4 linked regions of the Arabidopsis thaliana genome follow. The protein of the gene in region 4 interacts with the protein of the main gene of each other region in a biochemical or structural test. Each region holds a gene or a part of one and is shown on either strand. Other genes may lie near its edges. The genes, in order: AT1G51820, AT1G05700, PSY1R and AT4G39270.

Region 1 (7,956 bases), on a different chromosome or scaffold from region 4:
TATCCATTTAAATGGTTTAAAGTGCATTTGATGCCTACCAAAAAAAAAACGAACAAAGATATATAAGTAAGACTCAATATAACCATTTTAGAAACTTTAAACAATGTGAAATCATTTACAAAAACTTACAAAAAAAAACGAAATCTGAAAGCTATTATGAGTCCAAACCTTAAATGAAGGAGACAAAATGATAAGGTTGAGACTCTTGCCCGTTTTGCCTCTTCTTTCATATACATTTATGGTTTGAAGTGCATTTGATGCCTACTACAAAAAAAAAAAAGAAAAAAAAAGTTCTCGATTTACATTTAGAACAAAACAAAAACATGTAAGTAAGACTCAATATAACCATTTTAGAAACTGAAATCATTCTCAAAAAACAAAAGAAAAAGAAAAAAAAACTGAAAGCTAATATGAGTCCAAACCTTAAATGAAAGAGACAAATTGATAAGGTTATGACTCTTGCCGTAAACATTGGTGATACCGTAAATGTTGGTGATACAGCAAGCCATCTTCCATTTTTCTTTCAGTAATTGAGTAACTTCAATTGTCAAAGGAAACAAACGCACTTGTGAATATGTGTGTGTTGTATCTGTGTAAATATTTGCTATTTATATTAGAGAAAATATTTTAATTAATTATTGTTTAAAAGAACTAAAAACGGAAAAAAAACTCTTATAAAATTGGAGAACTATTTATAGTTGTTAACTATTAATGTGCAGTCTAAAACATAATATCATGTCAAAATTTAAAAGATTTGATTTTGTAATTAGTTAAGAGAGTTGCAATTATGGTAAAAAAAAAATCATTTCAAATTGTAGTTTAATATGTAGTAATTTTATAGTTTATGACTATTTTTCTAAATATATGATATATCTATTAATAAATTATTTTAGTCAAACTACAATTAATGATAAATACACGTGTCATCAAAGTAAAGTGCCAAATGTCGCATTGGTAGGCAAAGTTTGAAAAAACCTTCTCTTATTATATAAGATGCAAACTATCGAGCGTTTGGGCTCACTTCAGTACCAAACGTCAAGCTCACTTCTATAGAACTCTTTGATTCCATGTCCCGACTTGCTCCTCCCCTTGCATTTTCAGAAGCCAGACACTCGTTCAATTCAATAACAACTTGGGACATGGTCGGTCTTCTCGCTGAAGAATGATTTAGACAACTCATTGCTAGTTCAACAGCTTTCCAAACAGAACCGGAATCATAATCTTCATTGAGACTTGGATCCATAATGCTTTGGATGTCTCCTTTTGTAAGCATTACTCCTACCCATTCTCCTATGTGTGGCTTTTCACGGCTTTGGTCGATCACATGTCGGTTTGTGATAATCTCCAACAATAGAATCCCAAAACTATAAACATCACTCTTTTCTGTCAACCAATTTGTTCTATGGTATCTGGAAAACAAAATATTATAACTTTTTTTTTGTCAAGTTTCTTTATTACTAAAGAAAAAAAGTATTTCTTAAGCAGTAATACTTACTCAGGATCGAGATATCCAGGAGTTCCAGCAACAACTGTTGATACATGAGTTTCACCTTCGATCAGGAATGATCTCGAAAGCCCAAAATCCGCAAGTTTGGCCTCAAAGTGTTCGTTCAACAATATATTTGTAGTTTTGACGTCCCTATGTACCATTGGTGGTTTGCAACCATTATGCAAGTACTCGAGTCCTAGGCCACAACAATAATTTTAATTAATACAAAAAAACAAAAATTGAAAAATACAAGGGGGCAATCTCTAAACAAACCTTGTGCAGACTCGATGACTATTTTTAGTCTAGTTCCCCAATTCAAAATAAAGCGGTTACGTGTTCCTGTTTATTCAAAGAACATATTATTGTCAAAGTCTTATGTTTTACCTCAAGACAACAACAAACAAAAAACACACTTTTGTTTTCTACCTGACATATGTTCTTTTAGATCTCCATTGGCCATGTATTCATAGATAAGAGCCAAGTTATCTCCTTCGTCGCAGTACCCAACAAGACCAACCAAGTTCTTGTGATGAACTCTAAGAAGAAGTTCTACCTAAACACCAAACCATAACTCACATGTTCAAGGTTTAGAAATAGTTGAGTCATTGACGTGTTTCTCTGAGAAAGTGATAAATGTGAGAGTTTACCTCAGCTTTGAATTGTTTATATCCTTGAGACGATGAATGGGAGAGTATCTTAACAGCTACTTGCTCTGTACCGTTCACGAAACCATGATAAACCATTCCAAACCCTCCTTTCCCAAGGATTCTTTGGAAGTTATTTGTCATTATCACAACTTGTGAATAAGAAAACCTTCTATTTTTCGTTACGATTGCCGGTTCAGATGATCTAGGCAATCTACCATCTGATGCTTGCATATAAGATGGTGGTGGCCCTAAGGTTTCAAGCGAAAAATGTAGTAAGACTTGGTACTTAAATTTGATATTTATGTATGTGATGTTAACAAAGGAATGAAGTTTGAGCTTATTGATAATATACCTTCAACTTTTGGTGACCTTTTCTTTCTAAGAATTAGAAACAGAACCAATGCACCTATAAGAACAGCTATTGAAGCAATTGATGCAACAACTGGCACTATGACACTCTTTTTCTTATGTCCATCCTCTTTTTTCTTGACACAAGAACCCGTTGTGCAAAGAATATGAGGATTGCCTTCGACACTGCAAAATGTAAGTATTAAAGATACCCGATTGCATCAATCGCCATGATAACATTCAAAAGAAAGAAAAAGTTAGTTTACTTTAACTTCATTCCTTTCTTCTGAAGAAGTGAGGGAGGAACTGAGCCACTTAGATTATTACCACTTAAGTTTCTGTTGGGATCAAAAAGAGTCAAAAATATTTTAACCAAAAGTTAACCAAGTAAAAAAAAAAAACAATTTGCAGTGTCCCAATATAAACTCACATGACCAAGAGTGATTTTATGTCAGCTAAAAACTCAGGTACTTCTCCAGTCAAATTATTATCTGACAAGTCCCTGCACAAAGAAGAACGAGCCCATCAAATATGATTCATATTATAAGGCAAAGAGAGTTGATGTTTGGTGACGAAAAAAAAAAAAAAAAAAAGTTGATGTTTGGTTAGCCACAAATATACTTACAATATTTGCAGGTGAGTAAGATTCTTAATGGCTTGCGTGATGATCCCAGTTAATCCACTTGAAGATAAGTCTCTAGAGACAAAAAAAAAAAAGTGTGAGATAACAGTTTGAAATTGACATGATTAGAAATTAATAAAAATTGTATTATCTTACAAGGAAGTGATTATCGGTGGCGTAGAAATATCCGAGTTTTTGCAGTTTAGACCATCCCACAATAACTGTTTGGGGACACATGGATCTCCTTGCCAACTAATTCTACTCAATCCATAAGTACCTTGAACATTCTTGATCCCAGCAACTGTAAAGTTTGATGATGTCAAAAATCAAAACATAAAACGTTAAGATTTGTAGATAAGATAAAGAATCTAAATATCGACCTACCATCATTTTCATTTGTCTCCATTTGCGGGAAATCAATCACGGTGAAAGCTTCGATAGCATTAAGTAAAGGAGGAAGCGTAGATTTCAGCGTCTTCACAACCTGCAAAATGCATCTCCCTCCATCGCATTGCCCTGGGCTTAAGTCGACTATGGATGCGGTTTTTAGCGGTATAGGACTAAAAGGTCCAAAAGTATATTCTCCATTCAGTGTCACATTGAACTCCCTTGTCTCGTTTGCCCTTAGAGCCTGAATCTCTGCAATGTGTACGTAAGAGTAAAACTGTGTAGTAGGGGGCTCTACCGTCCATGTAATGTTCAAGGTGTCGTTAGCCTTAATTGGCGTTGCGGCTTTTGCCATTACACTTTGTGGTAGTTCATAAGTAATACTTGTGTTCACTTTGAGATTTGTAGTTACTTGTGTCCATGAGTCGTCGAAGAGCGGGTACCATTTACGGTCATAGACATCATCCGGGAACCTGCACAATCATGTATGTATATGACATAACTAATCTGACATATGGCTTTCTATGGTTTCAAACGCACCAGTTATTGACATGTGAAATATTGTTTTAATATTATTTTGTCAAGAAGTATAATTTATTTTAAATAATTTAAGAAAATATATAGTAATTGTCAACACAAAATAATATAATGTTGCACATTTTTTTTTTTTTTTTTGTTGCTATTTTTGTATGAATGTAAAATTCTATTCACCAAAATAACTAAGGAGGGGTTATTGGTTTATAGATTTATAAGGAATTGGAAATCCAAACAAAAATCATTTGTTATTCAATATTGATTTTAAAATTCTAATTAAAATCATGTGTTATTGATTCGATGATTTATAAATACTAGTTAAAATTCTTTGTTATTCGTTTAGTCATTTGTTTTTGGATTTGAGAATCCAAATTATGTTTTAAATAGAATTGAATGGATTTGAAAGAGAAAAATAGAAAGATTCAAATATATGGGTAAACACATATTATTTCAAAATCCATATATCTTGATTTCATAATTAATAGAAATTTTCAAATTCTATATAAATTTAGAAATCAATCAACCAATAACACCCCCTAAAATACAAAAAATGCATCTTTGGTTGAAAGAATTTTTAAGAAAAAAAACAATTATTTTTGCAATAAATGCATCCGATGCATATTTTTGCAGTTTTTGCTAAACGAAAAATTTCAATACAAAAACTGCAAAAATAAATTTTAGATAATAAATGTATGAAAACAACTAATCGAGACATATGCTTATATAACATGAAATTTTCATGGGAGCTTACCTTATACGAGTACTTGAATTGCTAATATACCCTCTGAATAAATACTTCAGTGAACCGCTTTGAGTAACGTACATATTTTTCTTCATCGGTCGTAGCTCCAACATATTTATAAAAGGTATACTTATTCCCGTCTTAACAAGACACACCTGTAAAGAGTTGGATCTGGTCACAAGGATTATTTCCTCTATAGTGTCATTGCTACTCACCGTTGTCCACAAATTCGGACCGAGATAAAGGTTGAAGTTTGGCCCAACATTAAGACCATCGTAATTCCCATATACAAATGTGGCCTTGATTAAATAGTTGGTGTCGCTGGTGACATTTAGATTGTAGCAGTTTCGTACTCCCTCTGGAAAGTATCTCAGTGTCAAAGTCGGCTTATCAACGAGTGGTTCAAATTCTTTGGCGAGTCTACCGGTTTTGCCACTAGCTACTAAATCGGCATCTGATGTATATGTTAAACCCGTTTGTGGTGCATCGTAAGGAGACTCAAGAAGGGATAAACCACAATCCACACTAATGAATCCTAATAAGACAATAGATGAAAAAATATAAACGTTTCATCTAAGAAACCGTTGAAGGTTGAACAACACTTATATAGATTAAAACAACAAATTTGTGCATACCTGTTTGATTTTGAGCTTGAACAAGATGAAATATCAGCAAATAGGTGGCAATAAACACAAAATGTCTCTCCATTATTCTTCTTACTGTCCAAAAGAAAGAGCCTTTTCTTTAGATATCAAGCTATGCATATAAGGATATATGATTTTTATGAGCCACTTTTAAAAGTCTCAAGTCAGCTACATAAATAGATAATTGAGACCTTTTTTTTCAGGATGGAAAATAATTCGATTTCGATAGAACAAGTTGTGAGAAAATGACAAACTCTTTAGTTTTTTGGTCAACCATGACAAGAGGTCGAAAACACTCTCATGTACTTTACTAATTTTAGACCACTAAACCGTCAACGCAAAATAACACGCTTTATTTTGATGTTGTCGACGTCGAAAAACTAGGAATAATATCTAGAAAGGAAACGTGCATTAAACCATAACCTTCTAAGTTCTAGTTAATAATCTTACAGATTTGTTGAATTTGACTTTTATATGGCACGTCATTGTTTGATCTGTCTTTCTGTGTCTTTCGTTCTAGATGGATATGGCGTTTTCGTAATTGAATCTCCACCGTCAGAAGTCAACCATCATCCAGCTTGTAGTGTGTGTTTTTGGTCAAAAGGCTTGTATATGTGAAACTCGAATTCTTTCGAATTTATACATCATATATAGTGTTTTTGCTTTGAACAAAAAAAATAAAAATATATAGTGTTTTTGCATCTCAATTCAATCTCCAATGATTTTATATGTATAATTTGTTGGATTTTTGGTTGAAAAAATTCCTTATGATATGGAAGAAGAATGTGGATACTTGCTATGGATGAATAAGTCAGGATGATCAATTAAAATTATGCGTGTTCACCCGAAAAACCATAAGAAAAGGAAAAAGTGGGAGCCAAAAATGGATTTACTCATTTACAAGAGCAAGACGGACGAAAATGGAAAAAAAAAAAACGGCAATCTCAAAACATGATACCGTTCGGATTGAAAAGGAGTTTGCATTAACTATGTAAAATTATTAGTTTTAATTGAAAAAATCACTGAAGAAGTATACTTCGATTAACCACTAGGATACCTCGATTAACCTCAAGCTGAACACAAAATTTTGAGAGTAAGAAAACTTAGAAAAACATTGTATGGTTATATGTGGATGACTTATTCTCACATGGTGTTTAGAAGAAACCATTCAAAAATTCAAAAAGAAGCTGAATTCTTCATGTAAACTACCGAGCCAATGGGGTCACTTCGGTACCAAAGGTCAAGCTTACTTCTATAGAACCTTCTGAGTCCATGTCTCGAATCGCTCCTCCCCTTGAATTTTCAGATGTCAAACACTCGTTTAATTCAATAACAACTTGAGACATGTTCGGTCTTCTAGCTGATGAAGGATTAAGACAACACATCGCTAGCTCAACAGCTTTCCAAACAGAAGTGGAATCATAATCTCCATTTAGACTTGGATCCATTATATTTTTTATGTCTCCTTTTGTAAGCACTTCCCCAACCCATTCTGCTATATGTGGCTTTTCACGTCTTGGGTCTATCACGGGTTGGTTTGTGATGATCTCTAACAATACGACTCCGAAACTATAAACATCACTCTTTTCAGTCAACCAATTTGTTCTGTAGTATCTGGAAAATAATATAGAAAACAAATTTTATGTGGGTTGCTTTGTAATTGAAGGAAAAACTAAAATCCCTTAATTAAGAGGTAATACTTACTCGGGATCGAGATATCCAGGAGTTCCAGCAACAGCTGTTGAAACATGAGTTTCACCTTCAATCGGGAATGATCTCGAGAGCCCAAAATCAGCAAGTTTGGCATCAAATTGTTCATTCAACAATATATTTGTTGTTTTGATGTCTCTATGCACCATTAGTGGTTTGCATCCATTGTGCAAATACTCAAGTCCTATGTCACAAACATTAGTTTTTTACAATATTGAAAACTTCAAGTATATGAAAAAAGAAAAGAACGAAACAAACCTTGGGCAGATTCAACGACTATTTTTAGTCTAGTTCCCCAATTTAAAATGAAGTGGTTTCGTGTTCCTGTGTTTAAAAAGAACACTTTGAGATAAATGCTAAAGTCTTATATTCGCACTATAGAACTGATAAAATACAGTTAGTCATTATTGTCTTACCTGACATGTGTTCTTTTAAATCTCCATTGGCCATGTATTCATATATAAGAGCCAAGTTCTCTCCTTCGTCACAGTATCCAACAAGGCCTACCAAATTCTTGTGATGAACTCTAAGAAGAAGTTCTACCTAAATACCCAGCCAGAAATCAGAAGTTATAGATATATATCCTTCAAAATATTTGAATCATTGATGCTTTTGTTTCAATTAGATAATGATGAAAGTGTGAATTTACCTCAGCTTTGAATTGTTTATATCCTTGAGATGAAGAATGGGAGAGTATCTTAATAGCTACTTGTTCAGTACCATTCACCAAACCATGATAAACAATTCCAAACCCTCCTTTCCCAAGCACTCTTTGGAAGTTATTTGTCATTTGCATAACTTCAGAGTAAGTAAACCGTTTATTCTTCGTCACT
Region 2 (7,124 bases), on a different chromosome or scaffold from region 4:
TAATTATTTTCAAATTTATTTATTGATTTGTATAAATCTAGAGTTTTCAATTTTATCGACTATCAATATTTTTTGATAATTTTTTCCTTACGAGTGTAAAGGTTATAACAAGCTACAAATTTATTCAAATGGTCAAAATCAGAGCCACTCATGCCTGAAAATTGTAATTTTGCACACAAATTCTTGACCTCACATTATGTTCAGAAAATCTCCAGATGTTTTATTTATGTGCTCCAAAGACTTCTATGATACATTTTTTTTTGACAACCAATTAGATGTAGATTAATAGATACATAAGTATTTCTTAGTTTAGATAGAAAAAAATGGAACCTTAAGTGACGTAGTTAGGACATTTTGGAAGCATGCATGTTCTGCATATATTGCCCCCACACCATCTACTACAACTCCTGCAAACTTTAATAATAAAGATGAAACAGATGACTAAAGAGTAAAGACTAATCCCTAATTAGGCTTTAGTGTTCAGAATCAGTCTTTTGTCTTGTGACTAAATACATCATAATTTGACAGCTATTATACAACCCATTGAGAGAGTGAGAGGTCTTCGTAGTTAATATCAGTCCCAGGTAGAAGTTGCTTTTATTATTATTATTATAGATAGATAGAGAGAACTATTTTTTCATTTATTGATGATAGTGACATTGTAAGGTTATTTTATTTTGTCAACATATTTGACCAGCTCTCTGCACCATCAGTCTTTTTGTTTCTACTTTCCACTTTTTGCTTTTTTCGTCTTTGAATTTTTGTTCTCTTCTCTTTAAAATCAACCAAAATTTCAACTAGAGAGGTTAAAAACATGGGCTGTATATAAAATCCATCAATCTAATCAAATCAGTGATTGAAAGTGATGTATTATTTTCATAAATTAACACCTACAATAATGAGATTCTCTAGCGTCTACCATTAATAATGAGATTTTAATTAGATTGAACGAGTTCATTTCATTAGTATATCCGTTGTTTAACTACAAGAGAATAAATGAAGTGTTATGAAAATGATAATTTACTACTGTAAATTTTTATGTTTCAAGTAAGACAAATTTAATTTTTCTGACGTCAATGCAACTTCATAGAGAGACTCAGGCGTTGAGGAGACGCGCACGCGTGGTTTCGGACACCAAACTCGCTCTAAAAGTCACTCACGTGGAGCGGTTAGAAGAGTCACGTTTCGAAACGCAGACGCAGAGGTAGAGATTGCGTGTGTAAAAAATAGAGATTTGTGGGGACAGCGGCACAGACCGTGCGACGCAAAAGTCCGAAAGGAATCAGCGTTTTATTTAAAAGGTACGTTTGGGGTCCTACGCGGCTTCGGTCTTTGTCTTGTTGTCACCATCTTCTTGTCCTCTTTTTTCCTTGTGGCTACCGGATTAGGTACTTTTTCTTTGTTTTTTCCTATTTATTATGGATTCTTTTCTATTCCATTACATTATTACTTTGGGCTTTTAGATATAGCATTAGCAACACAAACTTTAAAAAGCCTTTCAAAAATTTAAATATATAAACACTCCCAAGTTTTCAACATCTTTCTGTTTCCAACCCCTTGACTTATTCTACACCCTTTGCGTTGTGACATCAATAGTTCTTGTTACTCTCTTCTCTTTGAAGACACTCATTCAATCCTCTAACAATATGTGGCATGTTTGGCCTATCAGAGACGTTCTGCGAAACAGAGGATAATGCAAGCTCCACAACTTTCCATACAGAGTTTACATCAAAATCTTTCGCCATCTTTGAATCTATAACATTGTTCACATCATTCGTAGACCTCAAGATCGATATCACCCAATCACTCACATGAACACGTTTCGTTTGTGACTCTTTGATCACGGTTTTGCCTGTAATCATCTCCAACAGAACAACTCCAAAGCTGTAAATGTCACTCTTCTCGTTTAGCCCATTTGTCTCAAAGCATCTGCAAAACGGAGCATACAATCACTAAAAAAAGATTCCATGTTTGGCAAATATGGCAGACATAAGAGAGAAAACTGACAGCGGATCGAGATATCCGGGAGTTCCAGCGACTAGGGTGGATACGTGAGAACGACTCTCTGTATGAAAACTCCGTGAGAGTCCGAAATCTGCAAGCTTTGCTCTGTTTTTCTCGTTCAACAATATGTTTGAAGTCTTCACATCTCTGTGGACTATTGGAGGTTTGCATCCACAGTGAAGATACTCAAGCCCTTCATAGATTTTTCGTTAAAGATTTAAACTTTTGGATTAATTAATAACCTAGTATATAAAAGATCGACACTTTGTTTCATCATACCTTGTGCTGCATCAAGTGCAATCTGAAGCCTTTGTCTCCAGCTCAATGTGTGCTGATACTTTCCCGCGAGATGATCCGCCATGTTGCCGTTAGCCATGAACTCATAGATCAATCCCATTTGGTCACCTTCATGGAAATAACCGATCAGCGCAGTGAGGTTAACATGATGAACCCTCACAAGAACTTCGACCTACATGTATTTAGGTGGTTATGATTTGTATATCTTTTTGGAATCATTTGTCATATCTGAAGTTCTACTACAATACCTCAGAGCGAAACTCTTTGAATCCTTGAGCTGATGTTTCTGATAAAAGTTTAACAGCTACTTGAAGGTTGTCATAGAAGCCATGGTAGACTGTTCCAAACCCTCCTTTGCCGAGGACTTGACCGAAGTTATTTGTCATCTTTATAACGTCTGCAAAGGTAAACAGTAATTTGTTCTCCGATTTCGCCATTGGACTGGTTTGAGGTGCGGAGTTTACTTTGCAAAAGAAAGTTTTAACAATTGGTAATGTGATTAACAGATAGATATGAATGTAAAAGGAAAGATATAGAGATAGATTTGTAATTGTACCGGACTTGTTTCTCCGGTTTCTGATTCTCCAAAACACACCAGACAATAACAAGAGGATGAACAATGCTGCAAATGATGCGACAAGCGGGATAACGAGTTTTTTGCTGTTGCTTTTTCTGCAAGAAATCTCAGTACAGAGTCCTGGATTTTCTCCTAGCCTTAGCGAGAATGATCCGGTGTTTGATCTTTCTAATAACTCGGATGGAACTGAACCGGTAAGAGTGTTATTTTCTAGATTTCTGCAGATGTTGTTAAGAGTTAAGAGTCCATAATTATCGATCTCATTTGTTAAGATATGTCCAGAACTTACAAAACCCTCAAGAACTTCAGTTTTGAGAGGAACTCCGGAATGTCTCCGGTTAAGCCATTGTTTGATAAGTCTCTGATAATAGAGTTGTCTTGTTCAAGTCAGAAAAAACTCTTTAACAAAATACAAAATTATAGGTATCATCAGAATCTTGAATTAGGTAAACTCACAGCTCTTGAATCATTGTGAGGTTAGAGAAGGAGGAAGATATATGACCCGTTAACCCGCTTGATGATAAGTTCCTGCCTCCAATAGTGTAAATTTTTTTCCTACTCAATATAGAAAATCCACCGACTGATCAAGAAGCGATTAAAATTAGACTACACTTACAGTGATGTGATTCTTGGAGGAGTAAGACTATCATAACTGCAATTAAGGCCCTCCCAAATGTAGTCATTAGGCAAACAAGGATCTCCGTGCCAGTTCTTCTTCACTTTATAACTCGTCTTTAGACTCGTAACCGCGTCACCTGTAAGTTTCAATTGAATGCATTGATCAAACTGAGAAAAAAGATTGAACTTTGCTAGTCATGTTATACTAGCACAGACCATCCTCTTGGTTAGTGAGAGACTGCGAGAAACTATTTGCGACGTAGATCTCTAGAGCGTTAACAATTGGCGGAAGAGTGGACTTTGGGGTTCGAACGAGTGAAAACGCAATTTTCGATTGGCTCTCAGGGTTTAGAAAAAACGTGTTTGTCTGAAGATACTTGGGGCTGAATCCAGCAGCAACTGTCACTCCGTTAATGCTGATGTCGAACTCTCTTGTCTGGTTCGGTTTGAGACTAAGATCTTCAACCTCTGCGAAGTGCATGTAGACAAAGTACCTGACATTTGGATCACTGTTTTCCAAAGTCATTGTGATGGGTCTTGTTGTGTTTATTGGAGTCATCGCTGTGCTCATCACCAAACTTGAAAGACTATAACTATTATTGTCTGAGGTCACGGGGAGTGAGGTATTGATCTCTCTACAATAGCCAAAGTTGCGAGGTATCCAGATTCTGTCGTACACATCATCATCATATCTGATCCACAAAAAAGCTTCAGATTTCAAGTTTCAACTGGTAAAAAGTAAACTTTGAGCTAACGAAACAGAGCATCAAACAGAGTATGAAACAGAGCACGAAACAGAGCAAGAAACAGAGCTTTACCTAACAGGTGAACCCATGAGAGAGCGTAAGTCCCAGCGTCTAGAGAAGAAGAGAGCACCGTTTGGAGAATCATATGTCGTATTGTCGTTCCCGAGAAACCTAAGCTCTAAAGTCGAGATAAATGGAGTTCCTTTGCCTTTGTTTCCCAAACACACAAATATGTTCTCAGATTGGCTCAAGTAAACGACTTCTTTGGAAACAATGCTCGACCCATTGCTGAGCAAGACGGTATCCCAAATATTGCCACCAAGAAACAGATCAAACTCCGGTGAACCATTTTCTCCATCGTAGTTACCGTACATGAAACTAGCTCTTATGAGATATTTCTTGCCCTTCCCTTGTATTGGAATCAATGTATAGCAGTTTCTTGAACCTTCGGGAAAGCTCCTCAGGTTTTGAAGCTGTCTTTGAGCTGTGAAAGGGATCGATTTGGAGACTCCGGTTTCGACAAAGGATGAATCTGAGACGTAGTTTATACCTGTTGTGTCGTCTTTGTACGATGATCCACTTGGAATTCCACAATCGATGCTTATGAAACCTGTGATCACGCAACGAGTTAAAGTTATGAAAAGAATAAAGGATTAGACTTTCTTCACTAGAAAATAGTTTGAAAGATAAATGAATCAGTTAAGAAAACCTGATTGGTCTTGAGCAAGAACAGAAACGACGAGACACAATGCAAATGCTGCTGAATATATCAAATAGAGAAAACGAAACTCTTCCATTTTCGTCTGGTTTCTTGAAAAACAAGGAAAAAGAAGACAACTAAAAATGGGGTTGAGATTTTTGATGTGATGAAGTTTGAAGTTTTCATTTAAAGACACAAAAATAATTATTCTGACGTAAAGTCTGAAGACCAAACATAAACAAATTGGAAGTTAAAAGTGATTTAAATTAGCTACTTGCTCTTGGTGACATTGCAAAGTCAAATCACCATCAAAAGTCAACGAGAGACCCGCCGTATATATCAATTATTATCCTTACAAAAAGAAGTATAACACTCAAGAAGGTTGATTTTCATTTTTCATGAACTAGGATATATATATTTTCACTAGATAACTCAACTTGAAATATGTTAAGTCATGACAATCATGATATAAATAACATTAATGTATATCTTTTTTGTCTGCCTCTAAATAAAGTCGTTTAGGACCAATATTATTGATTTGAATTTCTAACATAAAATGAGTGATGATGCAAAAACTTCTTCACATTACTGTCACGAATCACGACTCGGCATGTATATAACAACCAACTTGATATAGACAATGTTTGTTCAAAACCACTATTGTGCGCCGTATTGGTGCGCAATATACACTATACCCTGCGCCTATGTACGTTTTCTTTTTGTGTCTAACTGGCTATACACTAAAATCTAAAACCTGTTTCTATATCAAACCAGAAGAACGTGACGAGAAGGGCCCGAGACTGTTCCTCGCCCTAATAATGTTTTCTACAAGCAATCGCCATTTAGATTGTTCTTTCTTGCTAAGCTTCTTCATTTTCTCCTTGAAATTCCTACAAGGTTAAGAAAACGATTACCATCTGTATCTTAAGGTTGTTGGCGTTGTCTGAAATGTGCGATATAACTTACCAGCAGAGAGAAACTTTGCAAGAATTAGAATCATCACAGATACAAGAGTGAAGCTGAAGAAGCTGCCACATCCTTTTGCAATGAGAACATGAAGCCCTAGACTTGCATCCCAAGAAATGTCTGAGCGCACCTTCAAGCCCTTTACACGCCGGGAATTTACACACGGTATGGCTTCCTTTAAGGGCCTTATCGCGAGGTCCAATTGTCCCACAACCTTCACGACATATGTGGACAAGAGCTTCCATGGCTTCATAGAGCTGCAAATACACTTCTCTCTCCTCCAGTTTTCTTCTTCTTTCTTGTTTCCTACTGTCGGATTCGATGACTGCCTCAATGAGCTCTTGTTCGAGCAAAGGATTAGAGCGTTTCATCACTTTCCATCCCTCTGTTGAAGATACAGATTTGAAGTCTTTGATGACCATGGAAAGACATACAAAGCAAATCCTTGTCACGTCACAGTTTCTCGCTAGTTGAAGCACATCGATCACATTCTCCTTGTTAATCCATCCTTGATCGAGAATCTCTACACAAAGTCTTTTAAGAGATGGGACCGAGTAGCAATGTGACAGAACCAATAAATGGAGCACAAACTTCTTCATTTCTTCCTCCTCGTAGCTGTAGGTTTTAATATCAGGCATGGTTCAAAGGAGAAACAAGCATTACGAAAGCATTTGTAACACATAGAACATACCAGGAAGAGTATAGAAACCTAATGAACATGTAGACTGCTTCACAAGGAACTCCATGGATTTTGAGGTATGTATTCCCATTCTTATCCCTCGATTGATTCAGAAGTGTCGCTATAACTGGTGAGGCTGCAGCCTGCAGAAGACAAAAACCTTGTAATATTGATCAGTAAGCCCGGAAAATGAGCTCAATTACCAGTTAATAAAACTCACCAGGACACTTGAATGGGCAGGAAAGTGAGACTTGTTATCGGTTTCAACATATGTATCTGCTCCAGATCCTTCCTTGAAAAGCTTATCCCAAGTTTCAAGTGCTTCTTTAGGCACAAGGCGCATTAAGCTCGAAGGTTTCCTTGTACTAGATTGAAAACGCTGGTAGGTAATACAAGGAAGAGGAGGAGGTTTTGGAATGTTCTTGGTACTACTAGACATCGTTGCTGGTGAAGTTAGGTTGAAGCAGAGTCAAGACATCATGATCAGGAGCATAGAAAGACTCTTCTTCTTCTACTCCCGTATCGAACACTTGCGAG
Region 3 (7,087 bases), on a different chromosome or scaffold from region 4:
AGTTGATGATTCCTCATCAGCTCCCAAGGAGCCTTCAATTCTCATCGGTGGTAAAATGGGGGACCGAAATAGCTCGTTTAAGATTGAGAAAGCTGGAGAAGGAGCTAGAGCAAACGTTTATAAGTTGACCACCTTTTACGGAACCGTTGGAGCCATCCCAGGGGTTTGGTTAAGCGCACCACAACTAATTATCACCAAGGATACGGCTAAGACCTTACTCGTCAAATTCAAAAAGGTTGATGATGCTACTACGGCTACTAGCAACTTATACTTCCCGGGTTGATAATTTAGGTCTAAGGATGTTCCCGTTCTACTAATCAACTGGTAAAAATTATTGTAATATTAAGCCTGAGACTCGTCCATGGCCTAAAATAATGAGTTATTTTCAAATTTCAATTAATAAGAAAGAAAAATGTGGCCAGATCCAGATACATAGATGTTGAGAATCATTCATAGGCATTGCTGTTGAATCTGTTTAAGGCATGAAATAGTTTTCTTCTTCATTCTACTTTGTATCCGAAAATTTTCTCTCCTCTTGTAAAGATCTTGAGCTTGAGAAAACATTGATCATTCATAGTATAACTTGCTGGACAGAATCTAGCTCCGGACGTGGATCTCGTGACATCGACTAATCAAACCGGATAAATAAACGTGTATGTCTCTTGCTTAATTGAGAGATTAAGATATTTGAGGAGTATCTCAAGGTTTTATCAACAAAGAAACGTAACACTATTCTTTTGATCACGATAGGGTTTCTTTTTTTGGCGTTACTCTATATAGCTTATTTTCCCAAAAACACTCAAAACGACGACGTTTAGCAAGACATATATTATCCAATAAGTTTTAAAAGTCTAAATCAAAAGCTTTCGTTTCACAAAAACCTCTCTCTTTTTTTCTCTCTCTCTCTCTGTCTCTGAATCTTCCATTGATGTTTAGGTATGTCTCAGTTTCTCAGATTCTCATGCTTTGTCTTCTTTCGCGCGTCATACGACTCTTTCTTTTCACTCAATGTCTCTTTGGTAACTATGCACACCAAATGTTCGATTAAATGCCGCTTACAGACCCCACTTGAGTTATTCTGTTAGCATCACAGATTTTTTTGTTTTCTTAGACCTCTTAAGAACGGAGAAATTTCATGGAAGCCAAAGTTGGTTTGATCATACGATACATTCCAGATTTCTAATCAAATCCTTTTATAAAAATCTGCTTTTGATCATGTTAAAGCCAAAGGGTTTTACATAGCTAGAGAGCTACATGTATATAGAAATCGTTTGAATGTCACGAGCTGCATAAATTCCTGTTCTTTACATCATCAAAGCTTCTATTACCATCAAAATTATAATTTACATGGAAATGATGGTTAACATATGCAATTGACAAGAAAAATATGTGTATATTTACTTATGCAGATATTTGAATCTGGTCACAATGATGAATGTAGGGAAGGAAGGCACACACACAGTTACGTCTCTTCTTCTTCTTCAGGTTCTTCTCTGTTATTTTGGTTTTTCTCCGCTTCTATATTCTTTAGCCAGTCTACAACTTGTTGAATGTTTGGTCTTTTCATTGGATTTTGGTTCACACACATGCAGGCTATGTCAAGCACACGAAGCATCGCTTCTTCATTTCCACTTTCTCTCAGCAATGTATCAAACACTTCCTCTGGTTTCCCATCTCTTTTCATAGTATGCACCCATGCGACCAATTCTCTTGACATCTTTGGCCTGAAAACCTCCATTGGTCTTTTCCCTGTGAGAAGCTCGAGCATGACTACACCAAAACTGTACACGTCACCTCTCAAAGTGGCTACCCAAGCTTGTCCATACTCTGGGGGAATGTAACCCAATGTGCCCACTAGCTCAGTTGTTACATGGGTGCGATATGGAAGGATCAATCTTGACAACCCGAAATCTGCTACATATGCCTTGAAATTTCCATCCAAAAGGATGTTGCTGGACTTGATGTCTCGGTGTACTATGTGTGGTTCACATATCTGGTGCATGTATGCTAGTCCACTACTTGCTCCTCTCATAATGTTGAGTCTTTTTGGCCAATCCAGCTGAGCTGGACCCTCAGGATTTTCGTGCAGCCAATAATCCAGACTACCATTCTCCATGAACGAGTAAATTAGTATCCGGGCACTATCATGGACGCAATAACCTTGTAGAGCGACCAGGTTCTCATGTTTCGCCCTGGACAGAACTTCTACCTCTGCCTTGAATTCCTTTTCCATCATACCATAGTCTCCTGTGAGTTTCTTAACCGCCAGTTTCGTTCCATTATCCAAGGTAGCCTTATAGACAAGGCCAAACCCGCCGCAGCCAATTATATTAGCTTGACTGAAGTTGTCGGTAGCTTTCAAGAGCTCAAATATGGTCAGGTCTTTTACTTCATATCTACTGTTTCCAAACAACAGTACAAGACTTATGTCTTTATCCGACCCTGGAGGGACTTCAGAATACGAGCCATTGGAATTTATCTCCAGTTCAGCATTCTCAGAGTCTCCTGGATTTACTCTCCTTTTAGAAAGCACCAACAGAGCTAGCAGCACCAAAATCAAACTGACGCCAAAAAAAAGCCCAAGGACAAGCCCCAAAACAAGCGTTCTGTTGACCTTTCCTTTACCCATCTTTGTAGTAGAGTGCTGAGTTGGATCGCAGGAGGTTAGCAGTACACCACCGCACAGCAAGGGGTTTCCTTCAAAATTTGCTTTTGGGAAGGTATCAAACTGGGTCCCTGTGGGTATCGGCCCACTGAGAGTGTTGTTTGCAACATTGAAATATGACAGGAAATGGAGTCCAGTGAGTGACCATGGAATTCTACCGGAGAGATTGTTGTTGGACAGGTCCAGCCTCTCTAAGTTAGTGAGGTTTGACAATTCATCTGGGATGCTGCCAGAAAAATTATTACCTAGAAGCTCCAGGATATGGAGAACCTTTAGCTGCCCAACCTCGACTGGTATAGTCCCAGTCAAGTTGTTCCTCTTGATGTATATCGTAGGTGGGAGGCTGGAAAGCTGATTGTATTGCTGATTAGTGGTGACATTATTGGGATTGACAAAAACCGGCAGCTCCAGATAGTTCCGCTCTGTTGCATCGTATGCCTTTTGCGACATCAGAGCTCTCAGCTGAAACAGTTCCTTTGGAAGCTCTCCTGTTAGAAAGTTATCGGAAAGATCCAAGTAGAAAAGGTCTGGAAGAGTTCCTAGCCAACCAGGAATTGTCCCCACGAATCGGTTCATGGACAGGTCCATAACTTCTACCCTCTGGAGCTTGATCAGCCAAGCTGGTATTTCACCTGTCAATCTGCACGCACCGATACCAAAAATTTGGAGGCTTGGAAATCCATCTGACCGAAGAAAGTCTTTGTTGCTTGGTACCGTTTCGTCGTAAAAATTCTTTGCCATAATGAGAGTAGAAAGCTTCTTGCAGCCTTGTAGAATGCTGAGAGCCCCTGTAAGGTTCGTCATTTTATTGTCTGAAAAAGTAAAGAACGACAGGGATTCCAATTCCAGTACTTGAGGAGATATCTGTCCCGTTAACTTGTTGCCTGCAAACCTCATTGCTGTCATCATTTTGCATGAGTAAACCGTGGAGGGAAATTCGCCGGTGAAGCTATTGTTTCCGAGGTCCAGAATGCTGAGGCTCTGAAACCGGGAAAAGTCTATCGCCGATAAAGTTCCTCCCAGCTGATTAACCCGTAAATTCAACTTCACGAGTTTTGTGCAATTGGCGAGAGAAACCGGGATAGAACCCATGAGGTTATTGACATGGAGTTGGAGGCTACTCAGTTTCGAAAGCTTACCTATATCCTTGGGTATTTCTCCTTCGATGTGATTAGAGTAAAGCTCAAGCAATGTCAGTTTGGTGAGACGAGTAATCCCATTATCAATTTTGCCAGAAAGACGGTTGACTGGTAAAAAGAGTTGCTCGAGCTCAGGAAGATTGTAGATTTCTTTGGGGATTTCACCAGAGAGATTGTTGAAGCCTGCTCGAAGAACACTTAGCCTCGAGCATCTGCTTAATTCTTGAGAGAGATCACCGCTGAAATCATTGTAGGAGAAATCCAGTTTGGTGAGCTGCGGCGAAGCTGTGCACATGAAGGAAGGGATAGAACCCGTGAAGCTGTTGTTGCTGACATTGAAACTGGTTAAATTGAAAGCACCCTGAAGAAAAACAGAACTACTGAGAATTTCTCCCTCAAGAAGATTGCTGGAGAGATCAACGGTCTGAATTGGGAAGATTCCGTTGCTTCCATTGCCAAATGATTGTTGAAGTGGCAATTCACCTTTGAAACTGTTGTAACTAAGATCAAGAACCAAGAGCTGATCAAGGGCAGAGAGGAAACCAGGTGGGAGTGGACCAGAGAGACGGTTATGAGAAAGGTCGAGACGAGAGAGACGCTGGAGATCCAAAACAGACGACGGAAGATTGCCAGAGAGTCCTCTAGAGGACAAAATAATCGAAGTAACACGATTTTCAGGAGACTTATCACAAGAGATTCCTTCCCAGGAGCAACAATCAATGGACGAATTCCAATGCAAAGGAGAGACTGGAGATGATACGTTGCCAGAGAACCAAAGGAGAGAATCTCGATCCTGAAGATTACAAACAGCCTCTGAAACTGTAAGAAAGAAGACAGAAATGGAAAGAACGTAGAGAAGGACAAAGAGAACCATGTGAGGACTCAAAGGTTTTACTTGTCTCACAAAAGGACCAATGGATTTAGATCTCATCTTCTCGTCAATCATGGCGAGAACAAAAGAAGAAGAAGAAGAAGCTGAGAAAGATTAAGAAAGCTTGAAAAAGAAGAAGAAGAAGGAGAGGGAAAAGAAGAAACAAAAGACATGATTATCCAATCTGGGTTTCTCTGTCCGAAGCTTGTAAATGGCTCTCAATACCATCGTTGACCAAAGGGAATAGTCAGACCAAACAGAAGAAAACTTCTTGTCACACCCAAAGTTCACTTTTAAATTTTATTTTATTTTATCATGTTATCTTTCTGCCCTGATTGTGGTTGTGGGTATGCTGTTTTTATGTAAAGTTTTTTTTTGATTAAAAAGTTATATATATATATATATATATATATATATATATAAATTATTATTCCTTTTTGTAATAAAAGCTCAAGTACAACTCTCTGAATAGCTCTGGTAATTATTAAAGTCAGCCCTATATATCCTTACTTATATGAACCAATGAAAAATGTTTTACTTATTTCATTTGTCTGGTTTTGTTCTGTCATTTATTCATGATTAAGAAAGATTAAAAAACGTTTTATGTGATTTATTTTGAAATTGGGTCATTTCAATCTTTGGAGGTGGGAGGTGCATGCGTGCGTGCTATGATGTTGATCATGAAATTGAATTTGATCATAAAATAATAATGATGGGTACAAACATTATGATATGAAATCAAAATAAATAAATAAAAAAGAAGAAGTTGAAGAATAGTATTATGATGATTATTTTTTGTGGTAGAGGCGTTTACCTTTTGGGGCGGCTGGTTTAGTAGTAGTGGCTCGTAGTGGTGGTGGTGTTACACAACTTTTTTCTATATCCTCTAAAATTGTAGAATATGTAATTCATCTTTATTTATTTTTGTCCATTTCTTTCTTTACTTTTTTGCCTTATGGAGGATCTTTTTATGTTTAATTATGCCAAGTGGAAGCCACATTTAACATTAGATAGTGGTCATAAAGAACGAAAAGTAGATAAAGAAGATCATATGATAACTATTTTTTTTTTGTAAAGGATACTATTTATTTTGTTTGACTTTTTGATTTCTTAGGGTTATAAAAATCCTTCAAGCTGTTCATGTGTGTGTTTCTTTTCGTAATTTATAATGAGCAAATGGCGTATATGATAGCTAACAAGTTACTTTAAACAATACCGTATTAAATTAACTGTCTTAGACTTTTCAGAAATTGTACTTATTAAATGGCTATAACCCAAAAAAAAACATTAGTATAGATTTTGTGTGATATTATATTTATCACTTTCATACGATTAGAATAAGTCATAAGAAGTTACTTAATTTTAAAACCGAAATTGTGTTTTTGTGAATTATTGACGATCAAAAACAGTTATTTGGAGTGATGTTTTAAAAAGAGAGTTCTTCGAAGTCCAATTAAATAGAATCTATCATGATTAATGCGTTTAATACTTTAACTAGTGTTTAGGAGCAGTAAGTAATGATGGTGTGAATTTGTTTTTCTATCTAAATATTATTTAACATGATAGAGCTTACGAAGACATGGTAAGAATAGTTATCTCTTTAGTGGAATCGAATATAAAGATTTGACATTAAATAATACCGAACAATCTTTTGGAGTTGTGTTGGACCTCCTTTATGTATGCTTTATTTATCTCTCTATCATCTAAAATAAAGAAGGAAATTTAGAATTCTGAGGCTCAGATTGTTGAGAATAAACCGTAAAATAAACTCTTGTGACTTTATACAACGATAATATATTATTAGCTTTTCGATAAAAGACGATCACATCTATTTTAATGTTTTTCCACTGAATTTTTATTATGTTCAATCAAATTTATAGAATCTCTAATAATTTTATTTTCCACCTAATATATTTCTTATACTTATAGAGATTCATGTACCTCAAAATCCAGGTTTAATAAAGCTTGTCGTTTTCTGGCCTAGAATAGAATAAGGAAAAGCCAATAAATATTGTATTCATTTATTTATTTTACTTATAAGTTATTAACTTCTTAATTATTATTTTGCTATTTTCTAATATGAATCCATTTCAAAACACAGCACATCGGCATATCTGTTTATCTATCTTGAAAAGAACTCGTCCTAATTTGTTTTTTTTTCGTCTGACAATTTCTTCTTCTTTTTAAATTGAGAAAATGATTTTGTAAAAACAAATAAAATGGGCGACTTTTTTTTTTTTTTTGGGGATAAAATTTGGCAATTGGACGACTTGGATTAGGATATTCCATTTTTTATATATACAATTCAACTGAAAGATAACATGTATCATGATCCTGATTTAATGTATATTTTGTGTTTGGCATTTTTCTATATTTTGTAATATATTACTTGTCCTTTTATAAACTGTATAC
Region 4 (7,264 bases):
TTACTTGAGATTTTTTTAAATATATTTTTTTTATTTTTTTCTATATTTATATTTTTTTTCTCAATTAATTTGGTGTTACGTGATGTTTTGGTTTTTGTAATTATTGAATCTAGATAACACAGATTATGTAACAAAGCTATATATATAATAATAATAATAATAATTAAGATGCAGTACATATAATAATTAGGTAATATTCCCTCCGTCCAACGAAAATAGATTTTTCAAATTTTATATCAAGTCCGATCGGAATTAAATGTTAAGAAAGACGTATTTTTTGTTGCTTTACGGAATTGCTGGTTTTAGTGGTTTTCGTTAGAAAAGAAATTTGGTGACTCTGAAAATATGTATGTACTGTGACCGGTGGTCCCACTTTCTGACTTCAAACAACATATGTGAGTAACGGCTCAACTATCGATGCAATCAATTGTGGAACACATTCCAAGCCATTTATTATCCCAACTATGTGAGAAACCATCTCCGTTCGACGGTTCTAGAAGCCCACAAACTATCTTCGGCCGTGGGTATAATACAAGGTAAAATTTATGTATTGAGTGTTCATCTTAGATCGTGGGTTGTTCAGGTATACAACATCAAGTACTCGGATTCACTCTAGGAGATTTTCAATATTGCTTTCGACGAGAGGCTAGAAAAAACATACGGTCTTTCTTTGTATATACAAGGTATGCACAAAATCTTCACTTATCAAGAAAACTTTGTGTAAACATTTCTTTGTTCTATTGGAAATATATATATTCAATCCATGTGTCATTATTTTGTCGCAGGTGGATCTCGATCTTATTAAACGGAATCCGATCTGCCGAGTTGGAATATGAGTGATATTTTGATTTATCTTTTTGATTCAAGATACTTTATTTGATTATCTCTTGGTATTTACAATTCTACCTTTGGTTATTGGACTTGACAATTCCATCTTAAACATGTGTATACTCTTAATTGCAATCTGGCTTGTCAAATTTAATTTTCACTTAGCATTTGGTTTTGTATGGTATAAAGTTTGTGAGGTGGTATTTACGATGTAAGGAATAAGAACTTAGATCAAATAAATAAGTAACTGGGCCAAGAGGCCCATTAAGTGCAAAGATGCAACGTGGTTAGATAACAGCAGCCCATTTATTAGCCTCATTCACACATCATTACAGAAACTTTTCGTTTTTTATATAATTGCCCCAAAGTATAAAACATTTCGATTCCCACCCCATACAAAACGAATTGCTAGTTTGCTACCCGAGAATATCAAAACTCAAAAGACTGGTCTGGTTTGATCATCGAAAAATATTATAAATTAACGGGAATTTTTTATCAACAAGAGATCAAATCATAACCACACATAAAAAATAATTAAAAATTGACGTCAAAAAATAAATATTGATCGTGTGTGTGTGTGTCTTTCTTTCTATACATCTTTCATACTCCGTCGACTCGACGCGCCACGGCTACTTCCTCTCGCTGACGATCCAGTCGCTAAACCCTCCGCCTGAGACAGAAGGCTACTTGTTCCCGCTGCGACAGGATCAGACACGCTCTGTCTCCAACTACCAAATATTCGACCGCTACTCGAAGATCCTCTCGAAGATCCAGTCGTACGGAATCTCTCAGATTCGCTGCTGTCTTCTCTCACAACTCTCAGTGGATTCTCCAAGGCTTGTACTATGTGTCTCATAAGCGGCCGTCTCGTTGGTTTTGGGTTAAGACAAGATCTAGCGACGATTGCCATTGCCCAGACTTCTTCTAAGAGGTCTTCGTCGACCAGAAGAGATTGGTCTAGAATGTTCATTACGGGTTCTTTCTCTTGCGATGAAATGTAAGGCATGATCTCGGTTAGGATTTTTTTGAATTGGGTTTCTTTACATGAGCTGATTCCGAGTTTCCCTGTGATAAGCTCCAGAAGTATCTTGCCGAAGCAGTACACATCGTAGGCACATGTTGCTGTAGCTGCAGACCCTGGGAATTTTAGGGATTGTTAGAATAGTTAAGAAATTAGCAAGCTTGTTTTATGCATTTGAAGATAAACTCACCAGGAACACTTTCTTGAGAAGACCTGAAGAGGGAAACAGTAGCAAGCTTGTTTGTTAGATGTTTAAATCAAAATTGGTTATATGATGAATCAGAGGCACTTACTGGGATAGTCTGAGCAATCGGGCTATTTTCCGTGGACGGCCATTGTTTTCTTGATGACAAGCTTTGCTAAAGCTTCCAAGCCTAACTTCAAACTTATCATCCAAGAGAATGCTACTTGCTTGAATATCCCTTATTGAACATTGGAAGACTCAAGATCAGTAATGAACTAATGGTGGCTTGAAAGTAAAAAAAGAGTAAAAGGAATGGTTTTTCATACCTGTGGACGACGGATGGTGAGCAATCATGGTGCAGGTAAGCAAGTCCCTCTGCTACTCCCAATGCTATTTTCAGTCTGGTGATCCAATCGAGAGATCTCAATCCGTTGTCAACTAGGGAATTGGATTTATAGAACAATGAGCTTGGTAAATCCCTATTCAGCATGTACTTGTATACCAAGAACTTATGAGTTGCGCTCTCTAAGCTCTTCCCTACGAATGGGATTATTCTCGGATGCGCAAACCGGCTGAAGAAATCCAACTCGGTTAGATAAGCTTCGTTGTTCTTTGTAGATTCCAAGCTGATTCTTTTCACAACGATCTGAACTCCGTTTTCTAGAACTCCCTTGAAAAGATCCCCAGATTGTCCTTTCTTGATCAGGTTTGAATCACTGAACTCCTTGGTGGCATTGAGCAACTGCTGATAGGTAAATGATGATCCAAGACTCCCAAAGTTTATAGAGACTCCTCCTCTTGAGGGAAGTGTTTCATCAGGAGGTAATGGGCCAACACCGTTGTGTCTTCCTCTAGGATGATTACTTGTTGATGATCTGTTTCTTCGACGGACACAGAAACTCACTGTTATTGGTAACACTATGAGAATGAGCATAAGCAATATAGACCCTCCAACTGCAGCAAGTATAACTATTTTCGTGTGGCTTAACCAGGAAGTTTTAGAACTCTTCTTCTCTTCATGTTGTCCGAAATTGTTGAAAGTTAAGCCCTTTTTTGAATAAAACAAAGTGCAATCCGACAACTTCCGCTGCTTCTCTGGGCCCTGAAGACAATTGTTGCTCAATGAAGCTCTGGTTGGCACAAAGTCAGGAATTTTACCTTCAAAATAGTTTTCTGACAGGTCAACAACTTGGAACCTTGTCAGTAAAAGTGTGAGATTGCCGTAAAACATGTTCCCGGATATGTTAAGCATGGAGACAGTAGAATCAAAACTGACAGTGGTATTAGGCAGCATGTCAGAGAAGTGATTTCCAGAAATATCTAGAAACTTGAGCTCCGGTAACGACCATAACCTGGACGGTAAAGCGCCTATGAAACCACTGCCTCTGAAGTCAATGATCTGAAGTTTACTCAGCAAACTAAACAGATCAGGAGGTAGGGATCCTGAAAGGCGATTTCCCGCAATTACCAATGTCTGCAAGTTCCTTAGCCCTTTCAAATCTGATGGAACCGAACCTGACATTCCGTTGAAGCTGAGATCAAGGTCAATTAAAACAGAGAGGTCTCCGAGTGATGGAGGTATTGAAGAAGTCAAGGTGTTACGCGAAAGATTCAGACGCTGGAGCTTTGAGAGTGCCCCAATATTAGCAGGAATCGAACCAAACACCGAGTTTGAGGAAAGATCAAGGATTGATAGATTCTGAAGAGAGGTAAGAGACAGAGGAATATCCCCATTGATCGCATTCTTTGAAAGATCAAGAACTTTGAGATGTGATAACCGAGTCAAACTTTCAGGGATGGTTCCTGTGATTGAACAGGAGCTAAGGTCCAACACCTCTAAAGTCAACAGACTCGATCCAAACAAAGCCGGGATTGGACCTGGAAGATAGAACCTTGAGGCGTTGAAGGAAGCTAGACGGGTGAGATTGACGAGAGAACCAACTGAGAATTCCGGGTTTTGATTCCCAATCCTTGTCCTTCTGAACCCTGAAATGTTGATCTTAGTTACTCTACCATTCTGATCACATTTGATGCCGTTCCAGTTCAGACAAGGATTGCCTTTTACAGGCCAATCTCTGCTTCGTAACCCAAGAGAAGACCTTAACAGCAGAAGCGCCGATTTCTCATTCAGAGAACTTGTCTGTTGCTCAAACGTTGACTCTAACAACAAGAGGAGGAATAAGAAGAAGACCAACAAGGATGTCTTCCTCAGAACCACCATGGTTTCTCTAAACCCTGGTGACGACTAGTACTTCGAAAAACTTAAAGCCATTCATTGCCTAAGATTCAATTGGAAAAAAGCTTCGCGATTTATGGAAATAATCAAATCTCTTTTTTTTTTGGGTTTCCTTCGAATCCGATCAATAAAGGAAACTTTCTTTTTGTGATTATTCAACAAAGATATATACTAAAAAAGGTTCTTCACTCTGTTACCTCTGCGACTTTCTCTGGCAATTACTTTTCTCTGTGCACTTCAGAATCAAAAACGATTCATTGTTGTTTACCAATCATTTTCTGCTGCCTCTCTCTCTCTCTAACTCTTCCATGTTTTTTTTTGTCCTAGATTTAGAGAGAGAAAGATGGAAAGTCTGATATAATACGAAACAGATATTTTTATATAATATTTGATAAAAACTTCTTCTTACAGAACTGTTCTGGACAGAGAAAGCTTCAGACTGGTCAAGAACAGCGGCCGTTCGAAGAAAAGAGAAGAAAGTATAAGAAAATAAAAAAAGTGAGAGAAGGTGGATCTTTCGTTGTATACGTGCACGTTCCCAAGATTTATGGTTCGATCTCGTGACCGAGACGCAGATACAGTAATTGAAAGTGAAGTTCTGAATACGGCGTCGTTTGAGGAGTTTGACTCTCAACGATCCCGCCCAAGACAGCTTAACGAACTCTTAAATTAATATCATTTCAAAAATACTTAAAGTTTCTGCTGACGTTTAATATGATAACCACCATTTTAGTAGTTTTGCAAATAAATAATTGAATTCCTAGGAGCTACGATGCTACTCCATTTCTGTAAATTTTGTATGACAATTATTTTTCCTCGTATTAAAACGACCAAAATATACTAATAATAATTGTGGCTTTATTATGAGCAAAATGATTTAGTTGTCACTCTTATAAAAAGTCGACGATACTTTTTCATATTACCTGCGATATATTAATAATCAGATTTCTTAAAAAAATCTTAGCCAGGTTATTTCTTGTTGAAAAAGCTCTTCTACACGCTTTAGTCAGCATTTTCAGCACAAAAATCGAAATCAAGATACTGAACCATTTGTAATTGACTTTGTATAACTACTACATCTTCATTCTTCATCCGTCTAATTTTGGTATACAAAATAATTAATCCTGTAAAAAAATAATATTCAGACAGTCAAAATATTTCAAGTACAGAGCGAGTGTATCCAAATATTCAATGATTGAAAATTGAATTCCATTGAAAGATTTATATGTTCACATATCTGCACATCTAGCTTTCATTTGAATATCACTTAACATACCAAAATATTTGTACAACAAAAAACGTCTATGCTAAAGTTTGGATATTACAGACTGTAACATGTCCACGATGCTATTGCGATAAGAATCTTTTCATATGAATTTATTGCATGTCATAATTAATGACAAAACAAATATGTAAATCCATAGCACATTATCGTCATAGTCTTTGCATATTATTTCATTTTATTGTTTTACTAATTTCGCCGTCAGATTCATTGGGCCGGAAGTTATAATCTTTCCAATTAAATTAGATAGGCCCAATAAACGAAACTCAGACCCAACTATTGTATGACATAATGACGACGAGACGAAGGACAAAATTGTCATTTAAGGAATAAAAGATATTCTTACAAAGATATTTTTTGCTCGAAACGAGGAGAAAAAATCATTAGTTATCGAAAATGCTCACATGATGTGGGCCTAACCACTAACCCAATTAACCACACATCTTAATCAGAGTAAGTTGAAACAAATCTTTCAGCAAACCCTAGAAAACATGTTTAACCCTAGTTATTACGTCACACCTGTTCTATAAATTAAGGCTGCGTCTTATCACCTCAAATCACATAAGTCTCTCTCTTACATTTTGAAACCCTAATTTCTCTTCTTTTCCCCAAAAAAAAATGTCTGAAGTTGAGTACCGGTGCTTTGTCGGCGGCCTTGCCTGGGCCACCAATGATGAAGATCTTCAAAGGACGTTCTCACAGTTCGGCGACGTTATCGATTCTAAGGTCTGTTACACGAGAGATCGGTCTCCCGGATCGAGCCGATTCCGATGATTCTGATCCTCGACGGATCTGATTCCGATCTGTTTCTCTGTTACTTGATTCGATTACTGTTACTATGTTCTCTCTCGTTCTTTGTTACTGTTACTTAATTTGTCCCATCGGTACGTTCATCTTCCTGCTTCTATGAGCTCGGAGATCGATCGATTTTTGCTTTATATTCATCGCTTTGTTTTATATTCCTTCCACGATTGTTTTTGCTGATGTGTATGATTTTGTTTGTTTACAGATCATTAACGACCGCGAGAGTGGAAGATCAAGGGGATTCGGATTCGTCACCTTCAAGGACGAGAAAGCCATGAGGGATGCGATTGAAGAGATGAACGGTAAAGAGCTCGATGGACGTGTCATCACCGTGAACGAGGCTCAGTCGAGAGGTAGCGGCGGTGGCGGAGGAGGCCGTGGTGGAAGCGGTGGTGGTTACCGCAGCGGAGGCGGTGGTGGATACTCAGGAGGCGGTGGCGGCGGATACTCAGGAGGAGGCGGTGGTGGTTACGAGAGACGTAGCGGAGGTTACGGATCTGGTGGAGGCGGTGGTGGCCGAGGATACGGTGGTGGTGGACGCCGTGAGGGAGGTGGCTACGGAGGCGGTGATGGTGGAAGTTACGGAGGCGGTGGTGGCGGCTGGTAATCAAAGATAGAGTTGTTTGCGTGCTGCTGCTCTGTTTTTGGTTTAGATTTGGTTTTGTGTCACCACTTCTGGTTTGGTTATCGTTCGTTTGGTTTACTTTTTTGATGAAACAGTTTCGTTTAAGTCTTCTTTGTCTGGAACGAAATGTTAATTCGCGTGTTGTTTACTAAATTTATAACGTTTCCTTTTAACCAGATTCGAGATTTTCCCTCAAATAATTTATCTTGTTAGACACATGTATTTAATCGAACAGCAGCTAAAGGATTCAAATGATTTTCTTATCAATAATTACTATAGTTTGA

What was found.
Region 1: the proteins of AT4G39270 (region 4) and AT1G51820 form a complex in vitro, tested with the Arabidopsis thaliana proteins (one large-scale study listed by BioGRID).
Region 2: the proteins of AT4G39270 (region 4) and AT1G05700 form a complex in vitro, tested with the Arabidopsis thaliana proteins (one large-scale study listed by BioGRID).
Region 3: the proteins of AT4G39270 (region 4) and PSY1R form a complex in vitro, tested with the Arabidopsis thaliana proteins (one large-scale study listed by BioGRID).

Annotation. Positions count from the first base shown.
Region 1 is NC_003070.9:19,236,407-19,244,362, forward strand, and holds AT1G51820 (Leucine-rich repeat protein kinase family protein), read right to left. Parts: upstream 5,560-7,956; 5' UTR 5,478-5,559; coding exon 5,405-5,477; intron 5,305-5,404; coding exon 4,779-5,304; intron 3,967-4,778; coding exon 3,491-3,966; intron 3,408-3,490; coding exon 3,263-3,407; intron 3,182-3,262; coding exon 3,110-3,181; intron 2,987-3,109; coding exon 2,915-2,986; intron 2,823-2,914; coding exon 2,751-2,822; intron 2,671-2,750; coding exon 2,489-2,670; intron 2,385-2,488; coding exon 2,137-2,384; intron 2,043-2,136; coding exon 1,916-2,042; intron 1,829-1,915; coding exon 1,763-1,828; intron 1,686-1,762; coding exon 1,496-1,685; intron 1,410-1,495; coding exon 1,001-1,409; 3' UTR 813-1,000; downstream 1-812. Other genes in the region: AT1G51823 (uncharacterized protein), read left to right, coding at 5,888-6,031; AT1G51830 (Leucine-rich repeat protein kinase family protein), read right to left, coding at 6,619-7,027, 7,118-7,307, 7,382-7,447, 7,540-7,666, 7,773-7,956.
Region 2 is NC_003070.9:1,707,711-1,714,834, reverse strand, and holds AT1G05700 (Leucine-rich repeat transmembrane protein kinase protein), read right to left. Parts: upstream 5,103-7,124; 5' UTR 5,040-5,102; coding exon 4,952-5,039; intron 4,853-4,951; coding exon 4,315-4,852; intron 4,189-4,314; coding exon 3,713-4,188; intron 3,634-3,712; coding exon 3,495-3,633; intron 3,407-3,494; coding exon 3,335-3,406; intron 3,240-3,334; coding exon 3,168-3,239; intron 3,097-3,167; coding exon 2,550-3,096; intron 2,474-2,549; coding exon 2,284-2,473; intron 2,198-2,283; coding exon 2,008-2,197; intron 1,930-2,007; coding exon 1,590-1,929; 3' UTR 1,361-1,589; downstream 1-1,360. Other genes in the region: BT3 (BTB and TAZ domain protein 3), read right to left, coding at 5,703-5,832, 5,909-6,523, 6,600-6,730, 6,808-7,026.
Region 3 is NC_003070.9:27,216,217-27,223,303, forward strand, and holds PSY1R (Leucine-rich receptor-like protein kinase family protein), read right to left. Parts: upstream 5,050-7,087; 5' UTR 4,751-5,049; coding exon 1,463-4,750; 3' UTR 1,152-1,462; downstream 1-1,151. Other genes in the region: AT1G72290 (Kunitz family trypsin and protease inhibitor protein), read left to right, coding at 1-283. UniProt on the Arabidopsis thaliana protein: Tyrosine-sulfated glycopeptide receptor with a serine/threonine-protein kinase activity. Regulates, in response to tyrosine-sulfated glycopeptide binding, a signaling cascade involved in cellular proliferation and plant growth. Not involved in PSK perception.
Region 4 is NC_003075.7:18,273,864-18,281,127, reverse strand, and holds AT4G39270 (Leucine-rich repeat protein kinase family protein), read right to left. Parts: upstream 4,818-7,264; 5' UTR 4,255-4,817; coding exon 2,360-4,254; coding exon of another isoform or gene 2,272-2,359; coding exon 2,143-2,271; coding exon of another isoform or gene 2,139-2,142; exon of another isoform or gene 2,063-2,138; coding exon 2,040-2,062; coding exon of another isoform or gene 2,002-2,039; exon of another isoform or gene 1,966-2,001; coding exon 1,418-1,965; 3' UTR 1,187-1,417; downstream 1-1,186. Other genes in the region: AT4G39280 (phenylalanyl-tRNA synthetase, putative / phenylalanine-tRNA ligase), read left to right, coding at 786-836; CCR1 (cold, circadian rhythm, and RNA binding 1), read left to right, coding at 6,170-6,277, 6,561-6,962.